Linked DNA regions of Arabidopsis thaliana. The protein of the gene in region 2 interacts with the protein of the main gene of each other region in a pairwise test. Each region holds a gene or a part of one and is shown on either strand. Other genes may lie near its edges. The genes, in order: AT1G22570, ZF14, GONST1 and AT2G41820.

Region 1 (5,541 bases), about 14 Mb from region 2:
TGTGACGCAAACCACACTTAAAGTCCTCCAATGTATTTTTCTTCCCCTTTCATTGTTATGGTGCTCAAGCGGTTTCTCATATTTCTATCAATCAGCTTGACAAATTTCTCTTTTCTTGATGGTTTTTCTCCGTGTCTTCTATCATTCCTTTCACGCCAAATAGAGTGTATCGTGTTTTGGAACACATACCTTAGTATAAACCTTTTCGTTGTGTCTCGGTTTTTGTTCGCAAGCTCCCTCATGATATCCCGCCATTTTTCAGTGAACTTGTTTGCTAGGATCCCCCGTGCCAGCTCCTCCCACACCTTTCTCGAATACGGACATTGGAAGAACAAGTGCTCTCTTGTCTCCAAAGGATCTTGGCATAAGACACAGCTTTGATCTGCATTTTGGTTTCATTGAAACATCCTTTCCCCTGTTGCTAACCTGTTTTTCATCATTAACCAAGTGACAAACCCATACTTTGGTGTAGCGTACTTGCAAAATTTCGTACTTGCAAAAGAAGTTTCTACGAACTTAATGATGACGGAAAAAAATACATATGAAACACTCTACATAAACTAGTATTAAAATTCTTTATCTGCATGGTTGTTCCTTAAGATAGTTAGAGATCATTTTTGGGAAGTAAATAAATTTCCACTAAAACTTAAGACATTATTTGAAACACCGGTACACCGGTATAGTGCCTTCTAAAGAACATTCAATGTTCAAGACTTCCAAGTCATAATATTTTTTGTTTGACTTTAAAAGAGAGGAATCCATGTAAATATAATTTATTCGATGTTTGTTTGTATCTTTTCGTGAGCTTAAAGATATTACATATCTCGATCCTTTCAATATTGTTAGGTCATGATGCCATTTATCGATCTTCCGCATGTCACGCCGTTCAGTCTAGGCGTGAGTACCAATCCTAACTCCTAAGGATACGACATCATAGCAACTTAGCAACCATGTATGATAAAATGGTTCACACAAATTATTTAGGCCCGTATTTCGGCCCCTTTTGATTTCGAAATATTTTGGGCCTATAAAAAAGAGAGAATGTTTGAGACTCGAGAGTAGTAAGAAAGGAGAGAACGCAGGTTTTTTTTTTTAAATGAATGATTTCAGAGAACGCAAGTTATACACGTACTACACGTATAACACGTTCCTCAGCAAGACAACAATATTATCTTATCCTCAAGTGGATGCAAATAATATAAAGATTTTAATATTCATTTACTACATCAACCCCCAAGAACAAAAAATGTCTTCAACAAACAAATCTACAATCAACGAAACAAACGTAATCACCAAATATGAATCAATCAGCAGTATGCTGAAAATTGTTGCCAACATAATTTAAGCATGCGACTTTCAAAAACTCGAAAAATTGTCAACAATTTGAGTAATCCGAATTTTTCTGTTTCTATTACACATGAAAAGACAAAGTAACATTCAAAATCCATCTCATCTGCTTGGCGCGATAACATATCTGATAAGACTTTTTTTTGTGTGTCCAAAGCTGATAAGGTTTCCAACTTTATCAGAATCAATCTATATTTGACTATTCAAAACTGAAATACAGGAGATTATTTCTGCTATGAACAAATATTATTTTGACTATTTGACTGATCTATCACAAACATCTTAGCCAAAAAATAAAATTTAGTGACCACAGCTTGAGAAAAAAGGAAACATTCGTGTAGAATGTATTTTGCTGATTTGTGGAGAGTATAGTCTTGTGCTGTGAACAAATACATTCATATTACCCTGCAACTTGCAAGTAAAAAGAAGTTATGAAGTGACAGCTAATCAGGAGATAAGAATAACTCGATCATAAATACGGAACACCGCAACAAGCGGACCAAAGAGCATGCAAGTAGCCACTAGCCAAGTAGGAGAAAGAAAAATATACAACTACATAATAAATATTCCAAATTAAAAACTTATTGATTTAGTCTCAGCATTTATACAAATGTAAAATGTTTATACAAATGTTGTCTATTTTTTTTATTGTTAACGAATTTTCTAATTTTGAAATAATAGTGATCAATTATGTTGCTTTTGTGACTAAAAAGTAAGTGAATTTACAAATAAAATGATACGTCAAAATTATGGTTAGCTAAGCCTAAGTCTAAGAGCTTGAATGATATATGGATTTTTGGTCGATCCAACCCAAAAACATCTAAATATTCTATCAACATTTATACTCAAATAACAATTGTACATCACTAAGTTACATGTTTTTTATAACTTAATTTTAAGAATAAGTCGTGATCAATCAAATTACCCTTGATGTTGACTTTTGATTGAAAAAAATGACAAAAAGAATTTGCTGATACAAAACAAAACATGGCAAATATCTAGCTCGTACGTGTATCACTTGTCCAAAGGAAGTATGCGTATTATTGCGTAATAATACAATAATATCGGAAAGTTATATAAAATAAAAATACAAATAAGATAATGTAATTGCATACTTATTTTTTAACGCGTATAGTACACTCATCTCAAATGCCAATAAATATACAGATACACATAAAAGAAAGACTAGAAAGTTTAGTTACCCAAAATATCATAAATTAATGTAATCGTGTTCACTAGTTGCGCAAGACAAAGAGATCTTTTAGCTTAAAAATCTCATTTAGGCATTTACCCTTTAAAAAGTTTTCACAGAGATTCTCAACCTCTATTGGTGAGAGAAATGAAGATACCAGAGGAAGAAGTTGCACTCTTAGAAGATTACGTTAGCGATTCCGTCGACCACCGTGGATTTCCCGCCGGAAAATCTTCCACCGGCGGATGGAGATCGGCCTGGTTCATTATAGGTAAAACACATCAGAAACAATCCAATTTTTTTTCTTTTTCTAGTTAAACTTCTAAGTCCCAGTCTTAAATGATTTGTTTAGGTGTGGAAGTTGCAGAGAGGTTTGCTTACTTTGGGATTGCCTGCAATTTGATTACTTACCTCACCGGACCTCTCGGACAATCGACGGCGAAAGCTGCCGTGAACGTGAACACGTGGTCGGGAACTGCCTCTATACTTCCTATTTTAGGAGCTTTCGTAGCTGACGCTTATCTTGGTCGTTACCGTACTATTGTCGTAGCTTCCCTCATCTACATATTGGTTAGTACTTTTGTCTTCTTCTAGTTAAACCGGTTTGATCTTTGTATGATTTAAACCGGGATTTTAGCTGAATTTGGAGGATTATTATTATTACAGGGGCTAGGACTATTGACGTTATCAGCTTCTTTAATCATAATGGGATTATCTAAGCAACGTAACGACGCTTCTGCTAAACCATCTATTTGGGTTAATACACTTTTCTTCTGTTCTCTGTATTTGGTGGCGATCGGACAAGGTGGACACAAACCGTGTGTTCAAGCGTTTGGTGCGGACCAGTTTGATGCTGAAGATCCGAAGGAGGTAATAGCGAGAGGGTCGTTTTTCAATTGGTGGTTCTTGAGTTTATCTGCGGGAATAAGCATATCGATTATTGTGGTCGCTTATGTTCAAGAAAATGTTAATTGGGCGTTTGGGTTTGGGATTCCTTGTTTGTTTATGGTTATGGCTCTTGCTATCTTCTTGCTCGGGAGGAAGATATATAGATACCCAAAGGGACATCATGAGGAGGTTAATAGTAGTAACACTTTTGCAAGAATCGGTAGAGTTTTTGTTATTGCGTTCAAGAATCGGAAACTGAGGTTAGAACATTCTAGTTTGGAATTGGATCAAGGTCTATTGGAGGATGGTCAGTCCGAGAAACGTAAAGATCGGCTCAAGTAAGTTCGAATATTTTGTGTTTTGTTTTAGTCTTTTGGCATAATTTTGAGTGTAAATTTCTTTACCTTGTGTGACAAGTTTCCTAGCAAAAGCAATGATCTCAAGAGAAGGTGTTGAGCCATGTAGTGGTAGGGACGTGGATGACGCGAAGGCTTTGGTAAGGCTTATTCCGATATGGATCACATACGTGGTGAGCACGATTCCGTACGCTCAGTACATAACTTTCTTCACGAAGCAAGGGGTCACGGTGGACAGAAGAATCTTACCGGGAGTAGAAATTCCAGCGGCTTCTTTATTGTCATTCGTTGGTGTATCTATTCTCATCTCAGTGCCCCTATATGAGCGTGTATTTCTCCCGATAGCTAGGAAGATTACCAAAAAGCCTTTTGGGATCACAATGCTCCAAAGGATAGGAGCTGGAATGGTGCTTTCAGTCTTCAATATGATGCTCGCTGCATTAGTAGAATCAAAACGGCTAAAAATCGCTAGGGAACACGGGCTAGTGGACAAGCCGGACGTGACCGTTCCAATGTCCATATGGTGGTTCGTCCCTCAGTATTTGCTACTCGGGATGATCGATCTGTTCTCTATGGTGGGAACACAAGAATTCTTCTACGACCAAGTCCCAACGGAGCTAAGGAGCATTGGTCTCTCGCTTTCTCTGAGTGCGATGGGTCTTTCAAGCTTCTTGAGTGGTTTTCTCATCAGTTTGATTGATTGGGCTACGGGAAAAGACGGCTGGTTCAACTCTAACTTGAACCGAGCCCATGTGGATTACTTTTATTGGTTGCTCGCTGCTTTCACGGCCATTGCTTTCTTTGCGTTCTTGTTCATCTCCAAGATGTATGTGTATCGTCGGCTAGACCAAGTCTAAGAATTCAGAGTACTAGTTTTTTTTTTTTTTTGGTAAGAAGAATTCAGAGTATTACAGTAGAAACTCTATAAATTAATAATGGTGAGACCATGAAATTTTATTAATTTATAGTGATATTAATTTATCCTCTAAATTAATAAATATTAATTTATCGTATAAGTTAATAAATATTAATTTATAGAAATATTTACGTAAAGTACAATACTATATTCTTTTAAAAATATTTTTTAATGTAATTTTCTATATGCTTTGTTGTTTGCATATATAATTATGTTAGGTTTTTATTTTAATTTGACTTTTTTAATTTATTTTCGTCAAGATTTGTATCTGTATATCTACGACATTAACGTGAACGTAAACGTAAACATGAAAGTTAATCCAGTTTCTCTTTACACAAATCATAACAATGCTTTCTCAAATAAAAGATTTTACAAAATCAACTATGACGGATCAAATACGCAAATAGTTATGTGAGTACAACAGAGATCATATCAGTTGTATTTTAAAAAGAGTTAGTTTGAACAAAAATTTCATATAAAAATTAGTCTTAAGATATATACTTAAGATCTATGATTATTAATTTATAATATTATTGGGACTATAATTTTACATAGGGATTTTAAAAAAATTATTATCTTATTATTTTATCGATTTTGATTAATTTTTATATTGGCCCAACTTGGGACCGACAAAATTTATTAATTTATCGTGTTTATTAATTTATCGAGTATTAATTTATAGAGTCTCTACTGTAATTTTGTTGACTTTCATATCAAACTTGTACGTTAACATGTTTATAGTTTGACTTCTTTTTTTTTTTTCGTTTTATTTCCAAAGTATATAGAATTGGCAACTTAAACATAAGGTAGAGGAGCCTACCAAAAAAAACATATCTATCATT
Region 2 (5,467 bases):
CTTATTTTATTTCTTAAAAATATCTATAGAAAAGGAATATCAAAGGTTGAAAGGTAATTCATATCGTCGACACGTAGACGCATTATCGATTCCACTCAGTTTTATTTCATTTTCTTGTCATATTTGGTTTTATTCTTTGGCCACATCGCTGTGAAGTTCGTATAAATTCATGTTCTGGTCCCAGGACAAAAAAAAGTATACATAAAAGAAAAGATGCTTTCTCTCTGCTCAAAGGAAACAACCAAAATCAAAATAAATGTGATCTCAATTAAATTTTAAAACGTATCGAATCTCAATGGCTTTGAGACAAAGAATATGATAGAATTAAAGGAAATTGTTTTCCATTTTTGGCTACGAATATAATTTCCTTTTATGGAACATGGAACCACCAAAAGCTCAAAAATAAAACATTCATCTTGCCTGTCCTTAAGAAAAGAATTGATTGTTAAATAAGCAAAGCTTTCACAACACAAATACGAATACAAAATAAATTGCAAAAAAATTAACCTATTATGGAACATTTTTACTGTATCCTTAGTTATTCTGATTGTCTTCGGCCATTAGGTTTGATCTACTAGTATGGTCTTTCTCTAGATTTCAATGGCCTAGACACGTCTAGTATCTTGGAATCTTTTTATATATATATATATATATATATATATTAAAGTTGTATTGAGGTTAAATTTTTCATTTTGATTTATACTTAGTTTTTGTGACAAAAATAAAATAAAATAAATTTATTCTTAGTTTAACAAAAAAAATTCACATTCTCCTAGAAAATGGACAAATATATAAAGATAATCAAACCACGAGTTATTACAAAAGGGAACACATAAAATACAAACTGCTGAAGTCAAAGCTAATTAGAACTATCACACCAATACAACCATAAATAACACAAACACCACTAAAGCCCACAAAACAAAGTCGTTCTTAAATCAAAAAGTAGAAATTAAGGAGCACTATAAACTCCAAAAAATGATGACAAGAACATATATGTACGTCAATGTTGATGGCAAATGCCTCCAGAGAATAGCTATCAATCTAAACCAACATGGTTCTCATCATATCTTCTGTACCGGAGGTAGACCGGCTCTTTGAGCTTGCGATGGGGAGAAGGGGCGGAGACTTTCCGGGAGTTTGTGACGTCAGCTCTTCAGCTCTCTCGGCTTGGACTTTCCAATCTGTTCTCAAAAGTGCACACAACATGAGAGAAGCACAAGTTGCTTGAGCTGCAAGCAACCCGAACCAGAGACCTGGAAACCCTTGTTTGAAAACAAACCCAAACAGAATAGCGACTGGCATGCCCACAAAGTAAAATGAACCCAAGTTTATGTTGGCACCAAGTGTAGGTCTTGCACAGCCTCTTAAAACCCCACAACCGGTTGTTTGAGGACAGTTTCCGAGCTCACATAACCCCACAATGGGTAATGCGATGGAAGTCAGCTGAAGAATCTCTGCATCCGTGGTAAACAAGCGTCCCCAATGGTGCCTAACCAGCACAGCAAACACCATCGCCATTAGGCCTAAGGCGATCGCGCAGAAGAGTGAGATGATCATGGATACCCGAGCTTTCGCCGGACGTTTAGCCCCAAGCTCGTTGCTAATTCTTGTAGAGACACCAAGGCTGAGAGAGGATGGGAAGACGTAGACCAAAGCCGTCGTTTGGATCAAGATTCCCATGGAAGCCACGGTGGCTCTTGGGTTAGCCAAAAGTCCACACAAAATGATCATAAACTCGTACCACCACCACTCCAAACAAACAGATACACAAGTGGGTATGGCAAGTGAGAGCAAAGCCGACCAACCTTTAAGAGAGTCAATAGTAATTGGGACCCATGTATCACTATGCACGCTAGTGAAATACACAAAAGAGGATAAGAGGACTACAAGGTTGAGATTTGTCAAAACCATAGCTATAGCGACTCCCGCTACTCCCATCTCAAGTTTCACCACTAGGAGGTAGTTCAAAGGAACGTGGAGGAGAACGGACACGGCCGTGGAGTAAGTCACGGGCAATGTAATGTTTTGTGTTCGGAGGTAAATTCGAAGAGGGTGAAGCAGAGAGAGAAGGAAGAGGTCAGGGATGGCGAATAGAAGGAACTGTTGAGCAACAGAGGAGATCTCTTCATCTTGGCCGCACCATAAGAGGATTCGGCGCATGTTGAGCCACGAGAAGGAGATAGGGACCGAGCAGGAGAGGAGTAGGAGGACGGTTCTTTGAAGGGTTAGTCCTAAAAGCTTCATTTGTTTAGCTCCGTATGCTTGGCCACAGATTGGTTCCATCCCCATGGACAAACCGGAGATGACGGAGTAGCCGGTGATATTGGCAAAGCCTATGGAGAGAGATCCTCCGGCTAACTCAAGCTCACCGAGGTAGCCTAAGAACAGCATCGATATCATCGCTCTTGAGTACATAAGAAGCCCGGTCATCGCCGTCGGCCCAGAGATTTTTCCGATCGCCTTCACTTCCTCTAAGCCCTGCCGCCAGATAATTAAGAAAAGAAAAGTCAAGACCAAGAACCGTCCACGTCAGTAGATCGTTTTTTTCTTTTCCCTGGTTAATGGTTAATTATATTAATCAAATAAAGCTTATCTTAAACCTTTATAAAAAAATGACAAAACCAAATCACCAACCGGGACCAAAGATTTAGGTATATATATAAAAAGGATTGCGAAACTGTTGTTTCTATTTATATATATGTATATGTATATATGCTTTTGGTATAGTTCGTACAATCTAGTTTTGTCAAGAACTAGATTCTTGAATTATTATGTTCATATCTATGTAGAAAAAAACAAACATTTACGTATAGGAAAAAAAAAGAAATAATTTACCTCCAGAAAACTTGGCCATCTTTTAAGGTCTAGAGAATCAGTATCCCTGAATTCAGAATAATGAGGATTATCTGTATCACAGGTTTCGAGTTTTGAGATATGGGTTTTGTCTTTACAAGATAATAAGGAAGATGAAGCAGAAGATGGTTTTGAATTACACATGATTCTTAAGAGGAGTAAACTGGTTTTGTTGGGAGTAGAGATAAAAGGACAAAGAGACAAAGTCTAGAGCTTTTAGTCTTTTGGAGGCAAAACGATTTTATGCAAATGATAAAAGGAACCGAGAGGAACTAATATTTTTAATATGGAATTGGTTGGGCCTTTTGGAGGAGAAAGGCTGACTATTTATAGTTGTAAAGAAGCGATATCGTTTCTACACGTGGCGAAAATTAGTTTTAATTTCTTTTTAACAAAGAATTGATTTTCTAATAGGGAAGTGGGACTTTTTTTGTTTGCTTTGACTAAACAAATCGTGTGTCCACCAAATAAGTCTGTGAGAAGAACGACACACAGGTTTAGGATAGCTCAAGAGTTCACTTTTGAAGAAAGACATAAAAATTGGTTTAGTTAACTATTTTAAAATACATCGCATTACCTTTAATAATAGCAAATCTCTTTCCTAATCTTTAACTCAACTTTGGGCTTCACTATATATTGAACTCTTTCGGTTATGTCGGCTGGCGAATTCACAGTCGTCCTAAGTGCTAGAATATCAGGCTGTTGTTACCTCTTAGGCTGAGAGGATAAAAAGCATTTATTCAATAACGGTTGGTCACATAAGTTGATGGGGTTAGTACTTGTTTTGAAAAATACTTGGGTGAACTTTTTTATTCTAGCCAATCAAAATCTACCACCTAATAAATAATATTAAATTAATTTAATTAGAAAATATAATTTGCCATAAAAAAATTATATATCAGTTATAAGAAAAAGTTAAGATTTCAATTTTATGATTGATGAGATTGAATATCGGTTTGAGTTTATAAACAGATTTAAATTTTACAATTAAACAAGTTTAAATATTGATTTAGGTTTATAAAAGATAATAAAGGTTTTAAATTTTCTAATTAAACGAGATTATATATCGGTTTGGATTTATATAATAGTAGTTAGGATTTAGATTTATAATTAAATGAATTTTACATTTTTATGGCATTTATAGATATTGTATGCTATTTGACTCAAATTTTACGGATTTACAATTTTTATACACTTAACAATGTATATACATTTATGATTTGTTTTTGCTAAAACACATACTCCATAGCAAATATTAAAAACAAACAAAACCAACTAAGGTCGGTCCTATTAATATGCCAATTTTGCCTCTCTCTTTTTTTTTTTCCTTCTTTTTTCTTTTTTTTTCTTTTTTTTTGATAAAAAATGAAATTTTATATCATTTGTGATTTGTGACACAATTACAAATTTTATGCCATTTTGTTTTTCTTTAATTCCGCTGAAACATTTAGAAACAGAGGTCGGTCCTATTTTATAACTCCGAAAATTTTAAGGTTAGGTGTAATGATGTCAAACAGGAAACTGCACTAGATTAGTCTATATACTTTCTGTGAAGATAATCCTTTCTTTTTTTGCACTAACGGTTAATTTAAGTTTTCCTAGTCAATCAAGATAAAATTTAAGTTTTTCCTATGTCTAAAATATCAAATTATGCTGTAAAATGGCATGAGATTTAATTTAGCATTTTCTTCCAATTTCAAATTGCATGTCTATTGCAACTTTAGCATATATAATTTTAACATTTAGGTTTAATGAATATATGTAATGTAATGTAATGTTAAACACTATTATGCAGAAAATGGCTTGAAAGCATGTTCATTGCCACCATACCATGAAACCTAAAAACTATTTAAAATAAATAAATCTTTATAAAAGTAAATGTAAAATATTAATAGTAACTTATTTATTATATATAACTTATTAATGTTAAAATAGCTTGTTTTCTATCAAATGATTACAATTAATTAAAACGTTGTATCAATATTTTACCACAACATGCAATTTCATTTGTTGTATATGTTTTTGGCATATGATCATTTTCTATAAAATTTGGCGTGAAAAGGATCAAAACCGTTATCGGTAGATCAGCATTTCTATTGACCAAATTTCTCACGTGTATGCAAAAATATATCAAGTAGACTAAAGGTCTTATCGCAAATTAACCAATTCTAAATACTTTTCTTGTACAACGTAACTATAAATACTTTGTACAATTGTATGACGAGTTATTTATGGCTTAATATCTATATGGTAACATGTGTTGGGAGTCTGATGGTGAGGGAACGACATGTGGAGAAGAAGAGAAATTAAGGCAACGGAGAACAACTAGTTGACCTGCACATTTTGTGATTCATATACATAATACATGATCTGAAGCTATAATTTGGTTTTGGAGGGGGCAAAGTTTTTCCGGAGTTAATTTGGTTTTAAGAATATAACCTTTGTCTAGTAAATGAGGATCGTATAGTATTTGTACTAACTTGAATTTGAAAAATAGTTGTGCGTGTTGAGATGATCAAAATTATTAATTTGATTTTTCATGTATCACCAAAGTGTAATTAACTTTTTCGTGACTCATTTTGAAAAACCTACACATTAAGTGTGTCTAAGT
Region 3 (6,669 bases), on a different chromosome or scaffold from region 2:
CAGACTTTTTACGTTCTTGTTCTCTGATCCTCTGTCTCCAAAGGTGAAGAAGGGCTGATGCAACATGGCAAATCTTGCGATCTTTATGTTTTGTAAGTCCCTCAAGCTTATCCATCATCCTCCTTGGTTCTTTTGGTTTTGGAGTAATGTTGATCTTCATCAATAACGAGAGAGCGTCAATGCAGCGAGACACCTCTGGTTTACCTGAGAGAACACCCTTAGCGTTGGCCACATCAGCAGCTTTCTTTGCTGCTTCGAACAACTTCACCATCTCATCCACTTTCTTCTTCTTCAGCTCCTTTTCTGTTTTAGTCTTCTTTATCAATGAACCATCTTCATGTGGCTTCTTCGTTGTAACATCCTCCAAAGAGACACGCCTTGTCTTCATGTTGAGCTGCTTTAGATTGGTCTTTGTCTCTTTCTTAAAATATTTCTCGACACAAGTCTCAGATCTATGATCCTCTTTCTGTTTCAAAGCCAAAAAGCTGTTCCTTGCTTTATTCTTCTCTGTTTCACGAGTTAATGATCTCTGATCTTCTTTCCTATTCAACTCCGAGAGTTTGATCGTTGTCTTACTCTCTACTGCTTCAACAGTCGTCTGAGATCTCTCGTCTTCTTTATTCTTCAACACCGAAAAGGCAGTGACTTGACGAGCCATAGTTCCCGGTTCTTCTTTCTTCTTCAACTCCGAACACATTTTTAGAACATGCTTCTTCATCTTCAGACGATCTTTGGTAAGAGCAGCTGTGAAAGAGTTGTCGCTTCCATGTGCGTAGAATGTCTTCAACCATGAATGAAACAAGGCTTGGGCTTCCTTACGGATTCTAGGGTTCCTATGACTTCTCAAAGTCTCCAGTTTAACTATTGATTCAGACAATCGTATATCCTTCACGGAAAGAGACAGAGACTTCAAGTGATTCAACACATCGATGCATCGCTCGACTTCGCATGGGTTCCGTGTATTGTAAGTAGCCTTAATTGCAGCAGCAGTCAAGTCGCATAAGTCAGATCTCTCCTTCGCAATTCTCACTCTCATCATCTTTCCGTCGTTCTTGATCATCAGGTGGCTAGGGTTTTCAGTTTATGTTGAAATCTCATACCATTGAATTTCTTTACTGGAAAATTGGTAAAAACGAAGAAACACATAAACCAACACTTCTCTTACCACTCAAGAATCGATACATTCATTAATATTTTACTAACATTATACAAGTAGAGTGGCGAAAGCTTTTACAAGAAACACATAACGTGCATAGAATTCTGAGGTTATAAACTCATTGCTCTGCTTTAATCAGCTTTTGCCATGTCCTATACTGATTGATGTAGTAAAATGTGTTGTAGATGGTTAGTATTTTAGGACTTCTCCCTCATTTTGGCTCTAGCAAATACAACTCCAGCGACAAGACCTGCAAATTAGGCCACCTCAGGTTTAATAATAATACACAACACAAGCGATATGTGTTCCTTCAAGAAGTTGGAAAAGGGAACTGATCGAGAGAACGCTTACCAAAGAGTATGCTTGCTGAGTTCTGCAAACTGGTCGGTACATTGAAAAGAACGATCCCCGCGATGGATAGAGGTATCTTGTTTAGAGATCCCACCAGGCTATGATTTTGAATAAAGCGAAAGATGTATCTAGTTAGGACTGAACCAACAAAGAAGCAAACATAGGAAAGGGATATATGGAGAAGGCTAGGGGACAGCAACACTCTCTTAAGCAAAGTTTTGAAATTGCTCTATCTCTCTCTAATTTGCTACCTGTATGTTGTTGCTCCAGTTTGATGAAGAAACCACATTGAAGTAAAGCTAATGGCAAGCCCTAGAAGTCCACTAAGTGTCATGACCATCCAGAAACTTGGTAATCGTAGAAGTGGCCTGCACAAATATAATACACCATTTTGTTTTCAGATGACACAAACCATTTTCCATTGACACAGAAATAAGGACAGGAACTCACGTTTGATAGAGATAATCCATCTCGTTGAAGAAATAAGAAAGAAGAAGCCCAAGTGGTAATGAAAGTGTGTTATTAAGCAAGACCATGGAGAACTCGTTCAAGTTTCCAGATTGAGTAACCTGCTTGGCCGTATCCATGGTCTTTCTCAAAGTCAGCTGCAAAACAACAAAATATAAGGCAAGTCAAAAGTGGTGGCAAATTTTATAAGAGTATAGTAGCCTAGCTAACAAGCCAAACACTTGGTTTTTGTTGACAGGATATAGGGATAAATTTATGGGAACCTAACAGTCTAACACTCTCGTTTTTTGACCCAGCAATGGAAAACCTAGTGAGAACTGAGAAGTTGATGGTGTCAATTTGCATTCTTTGCCCAAAGTCTTCTCTTTAACATGCTATTCCTACTTCTAACAACGAGTGAAGTACTCAGGTTACCAGTGACAATGGATTGCAAGCTATAAAATTTTCTAAGGTAACAGAATCTCGGTATCTCGTGAGCATCTTAAAACTCAAAAGCAAGCCAGTATCGTAATGATTATAGGGAAGGCTGTTTAGTTTATTGACTTAGTCTTAACCAAACAGCATGTAATACTCGACATGAAAGCATGGTTTTTAAGTGATCTCCTTTTCATATATGTGTTTATTGTTTCAAATGACTCCTAACATTTTGGGAAAAGAAAACACAAATGATCAAATGTTTACTCACCGAGTACGATGCAGTTAAGAAGCAATTAGCAATCTGCCAAGCATAGCCAACAGCATTGAATGATAGGTCTGTTATTCCTCCAGAAACTGCGGAAATTATCTGCAAATGAAGGACGAAAGAAGCACAGGTTAATCAAAACTTTATCCTCTACTTATTCAAGATCTATACAAAAACAAATAGAATATACATATAACAATGAGTAGCCGTGACAAAAAAACATGATTACATTTCCCTGGCAGACTAATTGTGGAAGCAGTTAAAAACATGTATCTCCAACAGTATTGAAAGGTTAGGCTATGCCACACCACTGAAAGCCGCTACGACAAGTGTAACTGTGTACGCACACAAAAGGGTGGATCACTTATCAATAAGAAGATATGCTTTAGACTTTATTGGTTAAGGTTGATGATCAGAGAGTGCTTTGAGAAAACAAGAGAAAACCAAATCCAAAACAGTATAGAATCGTTGTTTGACAAGGATATCTTTCAAAAACTCCAATCAAAATGCTATCTATGTGCAGCTTGAAATAGGTTCCTTGAGAATAGTTTTTTCTCAGGTACAATTTACAGAATCAGTTAGAAATACTTTTAAAGCAGACAAACATACCATTAAGAAGAGAGCAGCCCACACTCTGTTGTCATGTTGCTTGTTGAACAGATACATCTCACCAACTGCAGTTATCACATTAGTGACATTCTTCAGGACAGTGACCATTGCTACATTGATGTATTTCAAACTGTCAAAGAAAATGTAATTCAAATAGACAATCAAGTTCAATCTGCTCTTCAAACACCGCCTACATACACATATACGATACATATCTATATATCTCGACCTACTGTGAAGTAAATCCAAAATATCTATCTGTTTCACCTAAGTGTCTACACGTTATTTAATCCTCGATCTGCTGTAAAGATGATGTACAGATTCTTATAACTACCTTTAGTACTCCAAAAAGTTGACTTTACTAATTTAGTAATCTTATAGGCTTGAGAATTAAGAGAGCATCGATATATAATTCAACAAACCAACACAAAATAAAGGTGTAGAAACACATTCTTACCTAAACATGCTTGTGATAAGCATACCAACAAAGATGACATTCACTGGAAACCAGACCTTCATCAACCTCAAAGTAAGTGGTTCAGTAGTTATTAGACCCATTAAACTCAAACCAACCACAATGATCACCGAGACAAAGTTCTGGTATAACATAAGGAAGATCCCAGCATTGAAGTTGTAGCTGGAGAGAACAAACTTGTTGACAAGTATCATACTGCATGATGAAATGCAATAAGCTAAACCGGATAACAAAGCCCGGTTATGTATCTTTCTTGGAATTGGTTTATCTCCTCCGGATTTTACTGTCTTCCCATCTTCTAAATCAACTCCATCGTGTTCGTACAATTTCATTGCAAAGCTAAGACCTACCAAAGAAACTAACTTCTTTCAAGCTTATATAACTAGATCCATCATTCTTAACAATACACGCACAAAAAAAGTAACAGTTTTACATAAAAACCAATTCGGTTCCAATTCGCAGCTAAAATCAACTTAAGACGAGATTGGATCAAGCAGCAAAGTTGAGAGTAGCTACACAAGCGTTAATCGGAAGTTGTGTAGAGAATAACGAATTTTACCTCGAAGTTGTCCAAAAGCTCGCGAACTAAAGATTCAACTTCGGACGAGATCTAATTGATGACAAGTTACCGGAAAAAAAAAAAACTATGAATCGGAAGAAGAAGAAGAACATGAAACTTGCTCACGCGGAGGATCTTCGTCAGGTCGTGGTGGAGCTATCTGTGAAATGTTGTTTTGAAGAAACAATGGAAATTAGGAAACTGAAAAGACGAGGGAGAGAGATGGCATTGACCAGAAGAGAAAAAAAAAAAAAAAACTGACCAATTTTCGTTTCTTTCGTTTGTTTATTTATATTAAAATTAAGAGTTTCGTAAGTTAGAGGAAGTTCCATTATGTAAAACAAAATAAATTTTCTCAGTGGGTATTTCAAAATTGACAAACTCATCAACTACTCATGTCAAACATGTCTAAATGAATAAATAAAACTAGTATGTATTTCTTGAAATTAAAAATTATTCCAAAGCGAAAAATAGCCTTTTATCTATAAATACAGAATAATATTGATCATTTTTAAGACAATAAAACAGAATAATACTGATCATATACAAATAGGCCATATACAAATATGTCATAACTATACTAAAATTTAAGAAAATATTAGCTATTTAATACTATCAAACAAATCTCTTCATTGAGGTCATTCAACACAAACATTGTTATTTATAAAAAAAGAACACAAACTTTGTTTGGAGTAACTTTGACAGTTACACGTTAAATATGTTCTCTCCTAAGGTATTGAGCTTATGATGTTATTTTGTTAATTTTCATCATTTTATAGTTATTGGTTATTATATAAATCTCTTATATATTGAGAAGAAATAATAATATAAACATAAATTATCTAATTTAGTTATAATGGTTTGGTACCATATGGTCCAAATCACACAATATGTTGTACAATTTGCTTTTTTGGAAAAATGTCATTTAAATCAGTAGTTTACTATTTTTGTTGATTTAAACTATGAGTTCTGTATCTGGTAATTTAAATTCTCAATTTTTATGTTGATTTTCAATTTAATCACGAATTTTCGTTAATTAAGCAAATTGAGGCACAATTTTTTCTCTTTCGCACCATCAATCGACATAGAGATAAGAGATTATTTTGAATTTAAAGAAGAAGAAGGAATCAAAAAAAGGAAAGAATTCAAAAAAGAAAAGAGGGAAAAATGAAAATCGATTTTGGATTCTAGTGTTTATGATTTAAGAAATTTATAATGATGCGTCTTAATTAGTTTAATCAGTGAGAATTCGTATTTAAATTGATAGTCAGTGCAAAAGTGTACTACTGTTATGTGTCTCTAAACTTGGCAATTTGACACAAAATCTGAATGAATAAAAATAAAAGTTTGGCAATAATGGTCCATTTGCCTTTTTGCTTTGTACCATACCGTTGACCTTTCGGCTTAATTCTTTCCACCAGAAATTTTAGCCTATCTATTTTGACTCTTTGACACAGTCCACTTCTAAATCCACTAGCCATAGCCCAAGTTACTCGAGCACGTAAAATAAAATCCTTTAGGCCCAAAAGAACCAGTGTAGCCAAACGCATGACCATTTTGTTTTTTCCGTAACGCATGACAATTTTTATAACAAAAATATATTCACACTCTAATGTTAACGACACTCATCTTGTTCTTGAGAACAAATAGTTGAATATCATTTTCGTATTATAACATTTAATGAAAAGAGTTTTCTATCTCTTCTCTCTTTCATATCTTTTACAGAGAGGGAGCTCTGTTTTTCTTTTGTAATCTCCGTCTTCAATCAGAGCTTTTTGGTTTGTGTTTTAGATTTCCTGTTTTGATGCCGGTTTCTCTTTCCGACTTGTTCGGATTTACTTTCTTTCTTTCTCTTTTGGTTGCCTTTTGCAGGCTCAAATTAACTCTTCCAATTTCGGGAAGATGAAAATTCCAGAAGTCATCAAATGGATCCTTGTTCATTGAGTGCTTGATTCTTCTCCCAAGTGAAGGTAATTCCTTGCTCCGCCAAAAGGGCTTGTTTAGAGCATCGGTTCTCCTTGGTGGATTGATCAAGTTGATGCGGTTGATTGGGACGGAGTATGAAGAATTGGAGTCTTCGTCTTGTTCTGATGAATATTTCGGGCTAATCGGCTGAGGTTACAAATTCTCGTGATCAAGTTTAGGTCCAACCAATCTCTTCTGGTGATCTATGGCAAAAGGCGAGTAGGTACAATCGAAGGCAGAGATAGAGGTTTCTTGGAGGACTGAGTTGATCTGCCGGCTGGTGAAGGAAGTTTCCGGTGATGATGAGTCGGTGACAGCTGATGAAGGAAGTTTCCGGTGATGATGAGTCGGTGACGGCGAAACCTTTTTCTTCTCTCAACATCCCACATTGCATAACACGTATC
Region 4 (6,761 bases), on a different chromosome or scaffold from region 2:
AATGGACAAAATGCGAGAGCAGTTGCTCACAGAATTTATGCCAGATGATGCATGTCCACTTGGTACCCGGTTTTTAGAAGATACCCACAAAACCTATCAGATTGATTCTGGTGATGTTAAACCTCGAAAGGAGGTAACTTCCTTCTTTTGCTTCCCATAATATTCTCTGAAAACCTCGAGCTGAACATAAGATTGAAATATGTTGCATCTGTGTCTTCAGGACGCGGAGGATCAAGAGTTTGGAGATGGCACCGAAACCGTTACAAAGAACAATCATGTAACATTTTCTGAAATCCCAGACCTCCTGACCGTCAATCAAATTCTAGAATCTGTAAGTTACATTTTTCAGCTTCCTAGAAACTAGATTACAAAGTCTTCATCAAAAGTAACAGCACACTATAAACTATACTTATTTTGTATTGTTTGAAGGTCGTAGAGACAACACGTCAAGTGGGTAGAATTTCCTTCCATACTGCAGCCGATGCTTCATACAAAGAGATGACGCTGCATTGTGAGAATCTGTTAATGGGAAAACAGCAGAAGATCTCGAGTCTTTTAAATTCTCAGCTACGACATGAGAGTTCTGTTAACTGCTCTCCACGACAACATGATGAAGAGATCAAGATTGCATCTTTTCATCCTATGATCAATTCAGCATTTCATACTGGGGTATGTATGCCTTCGCTATGAATTCCTGTGGATAGCCTCCGGTTTCATATTCCAAGATAACTGTTTAACCATTTTTGTATTGATTACTGAAATTTGTTTAGGTCGAAGTCCCTTTACTGTCGAAAGAATTCGACATGAAATCGCCAAGAACACCAGTGGGAACTATTCAGTCACCGTGCTATGCAGAACTACAAAATAACCCACAAGCATTTAGACTACCAGCCTCAAGCCCTTACGACAACTTCCTTAAAGCTGCTGGCTGTTGATCATCGGCAGGATCCAAACCATGTTTGGCTTTGAATTCCAGTCAAGAACTCAAACAAAACATAACAAAAATAGGTTTGCTTGGTTTTCAAAGTCTTGGGTTACGTTTTTATAGATTCTTTAGCATCATAAATCGGAATTATCTCCGTCGTGCTATAATTAGATCATTCCTCCTAGGTTTTTACTCCTATCTTCTCTTTTCACTTATTCTTTTGTCCAATTCTTGTTTCTTTTTGGTGTGATGTGTAAAAAATTGAAAGAGGCCATCTGGTTTTCACATGGTATTGTAATCTTAAGATTCTACAACAGATGCTTTGTTGAACAGTTTCCCTCAAGATGTACATTGGTTCTTCTATGATCTAATTTATAATTTGTGTCATTGGATAAGTAAATCAACCATAAGCGGATCAATTTTATCATAAAAACCTATATAATACACAGAGGAGAAGCTCGCATATATAGGAATGCGTTTTCTTTTGTATATGAATGTCACAAGAGGAAACTATATATTCATTTGCTCATTTGATTTGCTTAACCTCTTGAAGCATTTCAACTACTTTCTTCATCTTTGGCCTTTTTGCAGGTGTGATGTCTGTGCAAAGCAATGCAACTTTCAGAGCTGCAAGCATCTCTCTCCTCCAAGCAAAAGACACGGTGCTAAGCTTGGCATCGAGTATCTGTTCCGGTGTTTCTCCTCTCGCTGAAGCTCCATGGACCCATTTCACCAAATCTACTCCTTCACCAAACTCTTCCTCCACCGGCGCTCTTGAGGTTAGAATCTCAAGCAACACAACTCCATAACTGTAAACATTCCCCGGAGCTGTAACTTGCATTGTGTATGCATACTCTGCAGAAATAAACCAAGGGAAAGTGTTGGATTTTGTATAAAGTTACTGGTAACAAAATTAAGACTTTATACCTGGTGGAATGTAGCCAAAAGAGCCTGCAACTGAGCTAATACTCGCGGTGCCTCTAGAGGGATCTAGAAGTTTCGATATTTCGATTTCCCCAAGCACGGCTTTGTAACCAGAGTCTAGCAAGACGTTGCTAGAGGAAACGTCGAGGTGAATGATGGCGACTTGGTGGAGAAATGCTAAACCTTCTGCTGCTCCAACAGCTATGGACAGTCTCATTGGCCAGTCAGGTTGGTACTCTGGTTTCTTGGTGGACTCATGAATCAGCTGAGTTAAGTTACCATTAGGTAAATGCTGATGCAACAAGAGAGCAACGTCTTCGTATATAACAAACCCTATCGGTCTAACCAAATGGTCATGGCAAAGTTTGCTGAGTCTTTCGAGTTCTCTGATCATCTTGTTCTGATGATGAGATATGGCTCTATCCATAGACTTGAGTTTCTTCACCGAAACAATCATCCCCGAAGGCATAACGGCTTTATAAACTGAACTGAAAGTTCCCGTACTGAGTTTATTTGACTCCTTCATAGTTGCTTTCACAACTGCATCAAGATCAATTCCTTGTTTAAGATTTTCAAGGAAGACATTTCCCGCGATAATTGCTGGTTGCTCATCCTCAACATTTTCTTCAACATCAACATTTTTAGCCGCTGCTTTCTCTTGTTTCTCCCTCATCATGAAGAGAAGAACAACCACAGTGACTGATACAAAGACAGCTACACCAGAACCAATCACTGCGAGCACAATTCTGTAGGAGACTCTGTGATTATATCTCAAATGGTCAAGATCTTCAGAATATCCACAAGAAGAGCTCAATGGTGCTCCACAAAGCTCTTTGTTTCCCAAAAAGCTCGAATTTGGAGACTTTTGAAAGGGAACAAAGACTGGCACTGGACCATTCAAAAGGTTGTTTGAGAAATTAACCTCGATCAAACTCATCATACCTTTTAGTAGTGGCGGTATGGATCCTGTGAGCAAATTGTTAGAGACATCCAATGACACGAGCTTGTCGAGTTTTCCTAACTCGGGAGGCAATGATCCATGAAGATGGTTGAAACTTAAGTTGAGTGCTATCTGCAAATTCCTCATGCGACCAATCTCAGGAGGAATGGTTCCCGTCAAGTAATTTCGACCCAGTTGGAGCTGAAGTAGCTTCACACAGTTTCCAATCTCATGAGGTATGTCTCCTCTTATGGAATTTTGATCAAGAAGTAAATACTGTAGCCTTGGCATGCTGCAGAGTTCCTTTGGGATGGTTCCGTTGAGTCTGTTGTTACTCAAATCAAGCTTGTTTAGGTTTCCACTTCCAAGAAACGACTTAGGGATCTCCCCAAAGAGACTATTACCTGAGAGAATCAGTTCTTGAAGATTAATGAGCTGACCAAGCTCTGTTGGAATGGTTCCAGCGAACCCATTAGCTGCCAGATTCAGCAGAGTGAGATTAGAACACTTGGAGAACTCTGCAACAATCTCACCTGAAAGATTGTTCTTGTCTGCTTCAAAGTAAGTAAGTCCACTAATGTTCCCGATTGTCCTCGGAATGACTCCCACAAGCTCGTTATTCCCAATTCTAATGCTCGAGAGGCCGCTGCAGATTCCTACTGCTTCAGGGAGTTCACCGGTCAATCTATTCTGTGTCAAGACCAAAACTTTAAGCTTCCCTTTCTCAAAAATCCCTTTTGGAATCTTCCCCTCAAGTTGGTTTGAGTGAAGATTCAACAATTCCAACTCAGAAACCAAACCTAACCCATTCGGTATCTCACCCACCAAATCATTCTCATAAGCTGTAAACACCCTGAGACTGCTCAGATTCCCTACCCAGTGAGGTATAGAACCATTTAACCCATTTCCAGAGACCTGAAACTCCTCTAACCTCTCTAGAACCTTAAGCTCATCAGGTATCTCTCCAACAAGCAAGTTATTAGAAATGTTGAATGCTCTAAGCCCTCTAAGCTTACCAAACTCAACCGGAATCGCTCCAACAAAACGATTCAGAGACAAATCAAGAAACTCAAGCTCAGACAAGTTGCCAAAAGAAGTAGGAATTCGTCCATTGAAGTTGTTACCAGAAAGATCTAGATGCTTTAAGCTTCTGAGGTCAGAGATTAGAGTAACATTACCTCTAAGCTGAAGCCCTGAGAGATCAAGCATTTCAACAAAAGAGTTGTTGACACCACACTTAAGCCCAACCCAAGTACAATAGTCAGTGCCATTACTACTCCATCCTGGAACTCCAAGCTCTCTATTAATCGCAACCAATGTGGCTTCATCGCTTAGTTGAGCTTCACAAAGCTCAGATTTTGATAAGAACCCAACAATCAGAAGAATTGACATACACCAAAATGTCATTTTTAAGAATTGAATCAATCACACACTCTTGTTCTTCTTCTTCTTTCCCCCAAATACAAAATTATCATTGAATTTTTAAGCCAAATGAAACAAGAAAGTGAGAGAGGAAAAGAAAAGTAATGCTCTTTTTGCCATGAATCCAGGATTAAAGCTCTGGTTTTTCAAGTCAAAATAACTGTTTCTGAAGAAAAAGAAGAAGAAAGACGAGTGCTTTAGAGTGTGAGTGTGGCTTAGAGAGAGAGCAAAGCCCATAAATTTAGGGAGAAAAAAACATGAGAGAACAAAGAGAAGAGAGCAAGGAAAATTCGATCAAAGAGTAGTAGGGTCTCTGCTTATAAGAGAGAAGAGGAAATTGCATTTTTTTTAGTATATCACGAAATTATGATTGCAGAACCAAACAAAGATCCTCTCACTTCACACACAGACAGAGAGAGAGAAGAGAGAGACTCCACAAAGCAAACGCACTTGGAAAGGAGGGAATTTTTTTTTTCTTTTCTTTTAATGTAATTAATTTCTGATACAAAAAAGTTTAATTTTCTTCACGAGACAGTGCAAGTGATGAATGAATGAAAGCTGCATAAATCTTTCTGACACATTTTTTCTGCTTTTGTTTTTTGGAAGAAAAAAAAAAGATTTTAATGAAAATGAAGAGTGTACGTTTTTTGATAATTCTTTTCCTCTGACGTTTTTTCTGTACCATACTGATTGATACTGTCACAATGTTCAATACCAAAGAGGTAAAAGATTGTTTCCAAATCTATCTTTTTTATTTTTTTACCTTCTTTTAAAATCAAAATTTACACACACTTTGCAGTTATCATTTGTGGTATAATGACATTTTTCTTATTCGTAGGGACTAGGTTATATTTGTAGCCTACATGTTTTCTCTTTGATCTATATTTGACAATAGGGAATCTACTCTCGTGTGGTGATTTTTGATGATTACTTTAAACACGATCCATGTTTGATGTATACCAAATTTTGACGACATTTATGTCAAGAATATAAGATTATAGAATCACACGAGGTGGAAGATTATTACTATTATTATTCGTCTGCGACGATAGTCAGGAAACACTGTGTGTTAATATCAATAGATATGATTGATTTCCGAGTTTCAAAATACACGTAAATTTTTGTTGTAAGATGCTCAATATAACAATACGTAAACAACGATTTGTCAAATCTTGAATGTTGGTAGAAGACATGTTTTCTCAGATGTCTGCCTCAAACAGCGAGATTAGTATCTTTTGATTTTGTGATAATTGTTATAAATAAAACATACCAACAATTTATTAAATAGCTATGTCTTAAGCTGCTTCCGATACTCCTACGCGACCCAAAACATTGAAAAGATGTCGGATAGATCATATATGAGTTGAGCTAAACTGTGTTCATATTCTCATTGGTGTGTACTTTAAGCTAGATGATGGTCGTAAACTCACATACAAATAATTGTTGTTTATATTACACCATTTTCCTCTTTCCTCTAACTATTACCTGATACAGATGACATAATTAAGTATAGTACTAAAAGGTAAAATACTGAAAACGAGTTTGATTTAATTTGCACAATTGTAAACTAGAAAGAAAGATTCAAAGTATGCAACAGTCAAGCAAATTCATACAATTATACTCAAATATCCGATAGTCATTAACATTCCAGAAAAAAATAAAAAATTAAGAACATGAGTTTGGGTTTCGAGAAATACTAGATATACTAGTTAGCTCTTAATTTATGTTTCTAAGAAATTGTTGGTAAATGTTTTAAAAAAAATATATCATAATGAAACAAAATCATAAACAAAGCTCCGTTTTATCAACATATTCCTTTATGCTGCAAAGAGTTTGTATATTTATGTTTATTTTTGAAAATATAGATTGAGAATAATAGAATGAGGAAGAGTGGGGTTCACTCACGGGATGGGGTAAAAGAAAAAGGAATGTGGCTCTTTACGGTTAGGCAAATTGTAGGACCCTTCTTTGTCTGCTCCGACCACCACCACTCACCACCTCCGTCCCATCGTTTTTTTCCTCTTCTTGAAACCTAATTGCCTAATTAAGTATATATAAATAACACCACCAATTAAGCAAGTTTTATTCTATTAATACTATAAAAAACTTTATTACATAGTTACATTTCTTTTCACGTGAGTTTTCACAACTCATGATACTATCAACAAGACGTTGAACTTCTTCTTGTTTTGGTAGTACAACTGAAGTTTTAGCTACAACAAAAAATAAATCCATGAATTGACGAAAGTACGACTGAATTTTTCTATGAATTGATTTTTAATTATGCATATACATTTTTTCAGTTGATTAGTTTTATGCTTTTCAAGCAATCTATTTTTTTCACAAATAGGCGAATGAGTTAAAGACGAATCATAAGAAGAGCAACAAGAAAAAGAGAAGACATAATGATGGAAGCACCTCGTCGCTTTAAACTCGTGAAGAAGGGGAGATAAGAAGTGTAGTTAATTGTTTTAAATTTTCAATAATTAACATTGTTAGAGAAAATGTTAACCAATGATTACAATGAAAACTTAGTCATTAGCTTATGGA

What was found.
Region 1: the proteins of ZF14 (region 2) and AT1G22570 interact in a protein complementation assay, tested with the Arabidopsis thaliana proteins (one large-scale study listed by BioGRID).
Region 3: the proteins of ZF14 (region 2) and GONST1 interact in a protein complementation assay, tested with the Arabidopsis thaliana proteins (one large-scale study listed by BioGRID).
Region 4: the proteins of ZF14 (region 2) and AT2G41820 interact in a protein complementation assay, tested with the Arabidopsis thaliana proteins (one large-scale study listed by BioGRID).

Annotation. Positions count from the first base shown.
Region 1 is NC_003070.9:7,975,719-7,981,259, reverse strand, and holds AT1G22570 (Major facilitator superfamily protein), read left to right. Parts: upstream 1-2,449; 5' UTR 2,450-2,686; coding exon 2,687-2,810; intron 2,811-2,812; exon of another isoform or gene 2,813-2,878; coding exon of another isoform or gene 2,879-2,891; coding exon 2,892-3,109; intron 3,110-3,205; coding exon 3,206-3,765; intron 3,766-3,844; coding exon 3,845-4,640; 3' UTR 4,641-4,836; downstream 4,837-5,541.
Region 2 is NC_003070.9:21,650,695-21,656,161, reverse strand, and holds ZF14 (MATE efflux family protein), read right to left. Parts: upstream 3,175-5,467; 5' UTR 3,001-3,174; coding exon 2,839-3,000; intron 2,482-2,838; coding exon 1,045-2,481; 3' UTR 723-1,044; downstream 1-722.
Region 3 is NC_003071.7:5,686,231-5,692,899, forward strand, and holds GONST1 (golgi nucleotide sugar transporter 1), read right to left. Parts: upstream 4,542-6,669; 5' UTR 4,301-4,541; intron 4,088-4,300; 5' UTR 4,074-4,087; coding exon 3,724-4,073; exon of another isoform or gene 3,480-3,723; coding exon of another isoform or gene 3,397-3,479; coding exon 3,267-3,396; intron 2,760-3,266; coding exon 2,661-2,759; intron 2,113-2,660; coding exon 1,958-2,112; intron 1,876-1,957; coding exon 1,759-1,875; coding exon of another isoform or gene 1,755-1,758; exon of another isoform or gene 1,606-1,754; coding exon 1,508-1,605; intron 1,407-1,507; coding exon 1,354-1,406; 3' UTR 1,086-1,353; downstream 1-1,085. Other genes in the region: AT2G13640 (Transcription factor IIS family protein), read right to left, coding at 1-1,060; AT2G13660 (uncharacterized protein), read right to left, coding at 6,062-6,387, 6,452-6,659. UniProt on the Arabidopsis thaliana protein: Involved in the import of GDP-mannose from the cytoplasm into the Golgi lumen. Required for the luminal synthesis of a variety of plant cell surface components. Is required for the correct mannosylation of the glycosylinositol phosphoceramides (GIPC).
Region 4 is NC_003071.7:17,444,605-17,451,365, reverse strand, and holds AT2G41820 (Leucine-rich repeat protein kinase family protein), read right to left. Parts: upstream 4,623-6,761; 5' UTR 4,197-4,622; coding exon 1,853-4,196; intron 1,781-1,852; coding exon 1,452-1,780; 3' UTR 1,258-1,451; downstream 1-1,257. Other genes in the region: AT2G41830 (Uncharacterized protein), read left to right, coding at 1-133, 221-331, 430-669, 771-935. UniProt on the Arabidopsis thaliana protein: Leucine-rich repeat receptor-like protein kinase that may play a role in vascular tissues development.